Linked DNA regions of Danio rerio. The protein of the gene in region 2 interacts with the protein of the main gene of each other region in a pairwise test. Links are inferred from orthologs where the notes say so. Each region holds a gene or a part of one and is shown on either strand. Other genes may lie near its edges. The genes, in order: wbp2 and epn2.

Region 1 (4,465 bases), on a different chromosome or scaffold from region 2:
TTTTTATTTATAATTAATACATACAACAAAATAAAATATATAAATGTGTACAACTGATAAACTGTAATAAGTAGTATACTTTTTACCACATATTTTGGCAACAATGTTTTTTAGTTTAGGCCACAATTCACAGTATTAACAAACAATTAATCTAACACTACTAGCTTAATAAAATAATTAGCTGTTTTGTTAATAGTTAGTAAGGTACAATTTGGGTTTATGTTAGGTTAGGGATGCCCCCCTAACCTTAATAAAATATTACGTTTACATTTTATCTTCATAATAAACACAATATGAAAAATTTACCAAAACCACATTAGATTAGATAAGCAGTTAATTCATTCATTCATTCATGTTGTAATGTTAGTAAAATCAAAGTCGTTTCTATTATTAAGTCATCTTTTCATTAATGTAGATTTATTTCAATCATGGATATAAATGTTTGTTTTAAAGAATTTATTTCTATATTTATTTATTAATTTATTGCTTTAAACCAAATGCTTTAAACCAATTTATAATATTTCAAACGAACATGTTATTAACACAACATTTACTTTTTATCTTCATAATAAACACAATATAGGAACATTTAAATCCCATTAGATTAAATAAGTAGTTCATTCATTTATTCATATTGGAAAAAAATAAATATAAATATTATAATATAGGGAAATTTAACTAAATCCTATCAGATTAGAAGTTCATTGATTATTTGATTCAATCATATTCTAAAAGCAAGTAAAATCAGTCATTTCTATAGTTATTAAGTCACCTTTTCATTATTGCAGATTTATTTTAATCATGAATATAAATGTTTGTTTTAATGAATTAATTTCTATATTTATTTATTAATTTATTCGTTCATTAATTCACCGTCAAAGTAAATTTAAACTGTTACAAATGCTTTAAACCAATTTATAATATTTTAAACGAACATGTTATTACACATCGTTTACATTTTATCTTTGTAATAAACACACTATAGGAAAATTTAGCTAAATCCTGTTAGATTAGATAAGCAACTCATTCATTCGTTCGTTCATGTTGTAATGCTAGTAAAATCAAAACCATTTCTATAGTTATTAAGTCATATTTTCATTAATTTTGATTTATATTATTTCTGAATGTTTATATTTATTATTTTTTAATTAATTCAATTGTTCATTAATTCACTGTCAAGGTCAATTTAAACTGTTACTAATGCTTAAAAACTATTTTATTTAGAATATTATTTTAAATGGACATGTTATTTACTTGTTGTTTACAGATTTTTCCGTTTACATTTTATATTCATAATGAAACCAATATAGGGAAATTGATCTAAATCCCATTAGAATGGATAAGCAGCAATCTGTTTATTATGGGTTATTTGAGAAGGTTCGGGAAATGTCTAAACCGGTCTAAACCCTGCTAGATGACGTCACTCGGAGGGGCGTGACATATGGCGGAAGTGCAGGTGGCTCATTGAGTTGCGCTCGGAGAATGTAGAGGGTCAGTTTGACAGCATAACAGACAGAAATCAAACATGGCTCTCAATAAAAATCACGATGAATCTGGACGTGTCATCATCAACAACTTCGAGGGGTAATGTAGCGGAATCGCACTCACTATTATCTACATCGCGTTATTGCGCTGCATTTTAAAACAGATAGGCTTTTTATGATTTCACAGATTTGTAAAGCAACGACCACATTCAGTTAATCTCTGTATTTACTGTTTATCATGGTATGAACAGTGATAGTCATGTGTTTTGGATCACGTCGGGTGAACCGTTAGATCACACCCATTTATTAGTTTGCTGTGTAGCCTGACTGTCTGACGTTTATGTGTTTATTTTATGCATTATTAAGTTTGTATACTATAAATGCAACCGATAACCAGTTAGATGAGTTGATATTGTTTAAAACAGATCCTGCGCAGCTTTCGAGAACGTTACTATGGCGAAGCCTGAGCTCATGAATATTAATTCAGTCACGCTCGAGTTGCTTGGAAACCTTCCTGCAGCGTTCAGTCACGTAAATTATCTATCTATCTATCTATCTATCTATCTATCTATCTATCTATCTATCTATCTATCTATCTATCTATCTATCTATATCTATCTATCTATCTATCTATCTATCTATCTATCTATCTATCTATCTATCTATCTATCTAATCTCCGTCTGTCTGTCTGTCTGTCTGTCTGTCTATCTATCTATCTGTCTGTCTGTCTGTCTGTCTGTCTGTCTGTCTGTCTATTTATCTATCTCTGTATCTATCTGTCTATATCTCTATCCGTCTGTCTGTCTATCTATCTATCTATCTATCTATCTATCTATCTATCTATCTATCTATCTATCTATCTATCTATCTATCTATCTATCTATCTATCTATCTATCTATCCATCTATCTATCTATCTATCTATGTGTGTATCTATCTGTCTATTTTCTATCTATCTATCTATCTATCTATCTATCTATCTATCTATCTATCTATCTATCTATCTATCTATCTATCTATCTATCTATGTGTGTATCTATCTGTCTATTTTCTATCTATCTATCTATCTATCTATCTATCTATCTATCTATCTATCTATCTATCTATCTATCTATCTGTCTATCTGTCTATCTGTCTATATCTCTATCCATCTATCTATCTATCTATCCATCCATCCATCCATCCATCCATCCATGACACACATCTGTCCCTATGCAACCCTGCTCTGACATGTTGCTAATTAGATTGGCCTATCGACAACAGCCACGTTACGTAATTAATATTAATGAGCTCAGCCCTCGCTTTAGTGGGATTCGCATTTGTGCTGTTCAGCCACAGTAGGTCAAGCAATAATCTTCTTAACATTCTTCTTAAAGAAATGACATGTTCTTAAGGAGAATACACTGTTTCACAAGAGCTTGTGTCATATTACACAACTGATTAAGAGATTGTTGACACCGGGAATGACATTATGTCTCTTAATAACACTATATACCCATACATATGAATATGCTTAACATTAATTGTAACAACAAGTAGTAACAGAATTGAATGTTTCCTATAAAAACAAATTGAAGCATTTTACATTATTTTATTTTATAATGATGGATTCAATTATGGATAAATGACACATTTGTTGCATATTATTCCAGTTTAGGAAAAATTCCTTAGTTTACCCGCAATACTTAACTGAGTTGTCTTTCTAACTTTAATACTAACTCAGCCATGTGATAAAAATCATAGCATTTCTGTACAAATGGTTAAGGTTTCATGTTGTTATTTGTTTGTTTGTTTGTTTATTTATTTATCATAATGTGAGTTGATTTAAGTATCTATACAGTGTATATTATTTTATCCAACATGTTTCTAAATCATTTTGTAATGCAAAGTGTTAGAATCATCATTCTAAGCTCTTTGCTCTAACATACAAATGTGTATGTGAATTTAAAAGACAACAAAGAGGACTGTGAAGCAAAAGCTAAACTCTTATCTCTCTCAAGACTACTGCCGACTGCCAGGGACCTGTAACAGTACAGTACAGTTGAAGTCAGAATTATTAGCCCCCCTGTTTATCTGTTTATCTGCCCCCCCCCCCATTTCTGTTTAACGGAGAGAAGATTTTTCTCAACACATTTCTAAATATAATAGTTTTAATAACTCATCTCTAATAACTGATTTATTTTATCTCTGCCATGATGACAGTAAATAGTATTTGACTAGATATTCTAGACACTTCTATACAGCTTAAAGTGATATTTAAAGGCTTAACTAGGTTAATTAGGTGAACTAGGCAGGTTAGGGTAATTAGGCAAGTTATTGTATAATGATGGTTTGTTCTGTAGATTATCGAAATAGAAATTAGCTTAAAGGGGCTAATAATTTTGTCCCTAAAATGATAAAAAAAATTAAAAACTGCTTTTATTCTAGCCGAAATAAAACAAATAAGACTTTCTCCAGAAGAAAAAATATTATCAGACATACTGTGAAAATTTCCTTGCTCTGTTAAACATAATTTGGGAAATATTGGAAAAAGAAAAAGAAATTCAAAGGGGGGCTAATAATTCTGACTTCAACTATATATATAAATTTATATGCATAATAATTCACAATAAATAATAACAATTTTGTATTATTTTAATTTCCATTACAGTTTATAATTAACATTTTAATTACCCTTATTTTACATAGCTTTCAATTATTAATTGATATTCATTTTATTATTAATTACATTATATATTACATTAAAATGATAATAATTTATTTAAATTTATTTATTTGTTTTATTTGGCAGGGTCAGTGTACATTAATTAGCATTGCTGCAAATGTTCCAGATTTAGCCAGAAGGTTTTTTTTCATCCATTGTCCCTGGACAGATGTTAAAGTTGTCACCCTAAAAATCAATCATAACCAAGAAACACTAAAATAGACATAGTTAGGTAGATCTTTAAAAAAATTATATTGAACAAAATAACCTAAAACAC
Region 2 (3,833 bases):
GGGTAACAGCACACCAGCCGTTTCCTGGTCTGCAGGGTAAAGAATTTGCCCCATGCAGTCAGAGCTCCAGGTGTGTAGAGTTTATCAAAATTAATTCAACAAAGTTGACTTTTACGATCGCTTGAACAAAGTTTTTGTCGTTGCCGTTAACAGCAACATTTCAAACATAAAGGGCAAAGAACGGCAAGCTACCAACCTTTTACTGTTGGTGAGGGGCATAATTTGGTCTTAAAGAATAATGCAGCCTGTGGCATTTAAGGAACCAAAGATAAAACCTTTAGTATCACAGTCACAGCAGATTTAAAAACCTACATACACAGAATAAAACTGGTAGGCTTATGCATTTTGGTTAATGGCATCACCCTGATTTTGGTTAATTCAATGGCAAATGTTGATCTCTGTTGAACCTGTTTGGAAGTGGGATGAGACTGCTAAACTGTAGATTGGATTGCAGCATTCACATTCATTCATACAAACCGTGTTAACAGAGCAATTCCTTTGAGAAATTAGGTTTAACAGAACCAAACACACCCCAGGTCTTGGTGGGACTCTGGCATTCTGTTTACAATGTCTTAAAAAAACAGCAAATATAAGATTCTGACAGTATGATAACCTTGGATAAAAATATCATGGTTTCACGGTATTGTGATTTCTGCTCTAAAATATAAACTTTTTTAATGTCTGGGTGAAAAACTAAAACTTCTTCCTCTTTAAACAAAATTAATTTTATTTAGAGAAACTTTTAAAATATTTTGGTGCAGTAAACAAGTCAGAGTAAATGATTCAAATGAATCCTTGACTTCTGCTGTCTTCATTAGCTTTAAAAACACAGATCTATTTCAACCGGTAAAGGTGTGTTTGGAGATCTTTTCTGCTGGACATACTGTAGTCCTAATAAAAAACACGTAATAAAAAAACCTTAAATATACCTTAGGAATGGTATAGCAGAAAATGTTGCAGTTTTAAAACCTTGACTTTTCCCGGTTATGGTCTCATGCCTAGTTTACTGATTTAAAAATATTTAAAAAATGATTTTAAATCCACGAACAACCATTACATTCACAAAACCTTCCATGCCACAGAAAGTTCTCTATAGCATTATAAAGTTCTTTATACAAGTTTTTCAAAATTTTCCTCCCATAAAAATAAACTATATTATAACCATCAACTTAATCAAACTGACTTGAAATAAATTTGATGGTATCTCTGCAAAACTGTTCTTTGCGAGTGACTGCAGAAGGCTATGTGCTATGCTTTAGCACAGGGATGGGCAAACTCAATCTTCAAGGGCCAGTGTCCTGCAGTGTTTTGATCCAACACTTATCAAACAAACCTGAACACACTAATCTGTGGTTGCATTTAAAATCACCTACTACTCAGTAGGTACTGCATTTGAATTTAAACATACTACTCTGACATTAGAAAAGTACTTTCTATACCAGGGGTCACCAATCTCGGCCCTGGAGGGCCGGTGTCCCTGCAGGGTTTAGCTCCAACTTGCCTCAACACACCTGCCTGGATGTTTCAAGTATACCTACAAAGACCTTGATTAGCTTGTTCACGTGTGTTTGATTAGGGTTAGAGCTAAAATCTGCAGGACACCGGCCCTCCAGGAACAAGTTTGGTGACCACTATTCTATACAGTATGAATGTAAGCAGAATAAACGGAAACTTGGATGTACTACATCCGCCATTTCGTCATGGTCACGTGACCTACCCACGTCAGTTGCGTCGCTTCACATTCAATCATAAATTTTCTAGCAGTACATGATAGGATAGTGTAGCGTGCATCCAATGCACACTTCAGAATCTCGCCGGAAGTAGCAAGTCATCCAGGTACTTATCACATACCGTGATAAGATCACTAGAAAGCTATAGGCAGGTGTGTTTGATTAGTGTTCGTGCAAAACTATGCAAGGCACCGGCCCTCCAGGATCGAGTTTGCCCATCCCTGCTATAGCAGTTTAGACTGCAATATGGCAACATGAAAACAATTCCGTTTGGCAAGTTGACAAGCTAAAGAAACATCTACTTACATCCATGATATGATGCAGGTGACCCCTCAGACTTGCCGTACTCCTCCGAGTAACTGGTGGAGAGGTTGGGTTGGCTGGAGCCACGGCCAAAGCCGATCTGATTGTTGCTGCCTACACTGGTGGCGACCTGTGCCATGCGCTCCTTAGTCTTCAGGGCCTGAGATCGCTCCCCTTTCAGACGGTCGTCATCTTTCAGCAGCACAACAAGCTGCTTGGACTTTTCTCTGACGTTGATGCCCTGGTCTTTTCCATCCCGATCGATATACTGGAAATCTTTGAGAGTCTGTATGGCAAAGATGTTCTCTTTGCACTGCAGGGCCACTCGCTCTGAGCCCGTTTTGATCAGGTAGTCCAGCAACGTCAGGGCCTTGTACACATGTCGCCAGTTCTTTCCGTGGTCATTCAACCTTTTCCAAATCATGCTCATTATCTCCGAAAAGGCCACCACATTGTAAGTGAGGTCAGCGATCTCTGACATCAGAGAACTGGAGGGCCCCCATGGGTCATTGGAAGTTGCTTCCCTGACCTTCTTCTCTGGCTCTGAATAGTTATTTACAACATTTTTCATTTGTCTCCGAATTGTTGAGCTTGGCATGGTGGCGAGTAGTGTTAAAATCCTTGAGAATCAAAAATAATAAACTCAGTTTTGCTTAAAAACAAAAAAAGGCCTGTTGTGAAATAGCTCGAGCACACGTTCTCCGTTTGAAACGGTTTCTCTGTGTTACTCGGTGTCTGTTAAAACCATTTCCACAGAGTGAAGGAAGCCAGCTCGATGAATTCCTCCATTACCTGAAACACAAAACCAAAATGTCAGACAGAAACAGAAAAGATTCAAATGAGCAGCTAGTAATAGTTGCCAAAAACAATTAGGCCACACAATAAAATCTAGAGCACATGAATCAGTAAACACAATTATCCTGATGGTTTCCTTTCCATTCATATGCAACAAAAAGAAAGTTATCACTCGATCATACAGAACAGAAGTTTAATGGTCCACTTCCAAACTGCACTTGCAGCTCCTCCTCTTAATACCACAGATAAAGAGAAATGGATTACAGCTGTTCACTCTTTAAACTAAGCCTAAGCAGTTTACCACCCCGAAACGTGTGGAGTAAAAGATAACTGCATACACACTGAAAGGCGGAGTATTGTGAAAAGTGCTTCCTATTACTCATCTTTACGGTAACACAACACTCATGTGGGAAGACATCTTATTTCCCAAACGTAATTGCGCCATACTGTGCTCTAGATTACAGTAGCACATGTAAAAATCAGAACCCAAACACTTTATCGCTTCATTTGCGCCAGCAGATTAGTCTAAAAATCATACTAAATAGTAGATTCCTGTCATGAGCACTCCGGGATACTTCATTCGCCAACAAAACATCTCAACCCATCCCATAAATTCATTAAAAGCTACTGAAATGTGACTCCTGCTCTCCTGTGGAGGAGCCAATAGAGCGCTGCCTTACGAGCAACCCCCACTGCCGCTCTCCCCAAGCCCGCATACACATGAATACAGCCACGGCCTAATGAAACATCTGCTGCTTTAATGACCAATTCAGGCCCAGCACATCAGAGGAAGAGAGGGGCAACTGTATCACTACCGGAACAAAGCTCCAGTGGCCCTCACTGTGACGGGGGCCCAGGAAGCCAGCACACAGGCCCGGGTCTGTGTGAGGATTCAGGGTAAGTGGTGGCCTCCTCCATACTAAAAAAACAGGTCTGGCAAAGCCCTGTCAATATCAAGGAGTCTCAGTGATCGGTGTTGAAACAGAGCCAGAGGCAGAGCATAGC

What was found.
Region 1: the proteins of epn2 (region 2) and wbp2 interact in binary tests that used the Homo sapiens proteins (3 or more experiments, as listed by UniProt). The link is inferred for Danio rerio from reciprocal best matches to the Homo sapiens genes EPN2 and WBP2.

Annotation. Positions count from the first base shown.
Region 1 is NC_133187.1:47,454,678-47,459,142, forward strand, and holds the start of wbp2 (WW domain-binding protein 2), read left to right. Parts: upstream 1-1,452; 5' UTR 1,453-1,525; coding exon 1,526-1,584; intron 1,585-4,465. UniProt on the Homo sapiens protein: Acts as a transcriptional coactivator of estrogen and progesterone receptors (ESR1 and PGR) upon hormone activation. In presence of estrogen, binds to ESR1-responsive promoters. Synergizes with YAP1 to enhance PGR activity.
Region 2 is NC_133178.1:38,608,357-38,612,189, reverse strand, and holds part of epn2 (epsin-2), read right to left. Parts: intron 2,826-3,833; 5' UTR 2,632-2,825; coding exon 2,037-2,631; intron 1-2,036. UniProt on the Homo sapiens protein: Plays a role in the formation of clathrin-coated invaginations and endocytosis.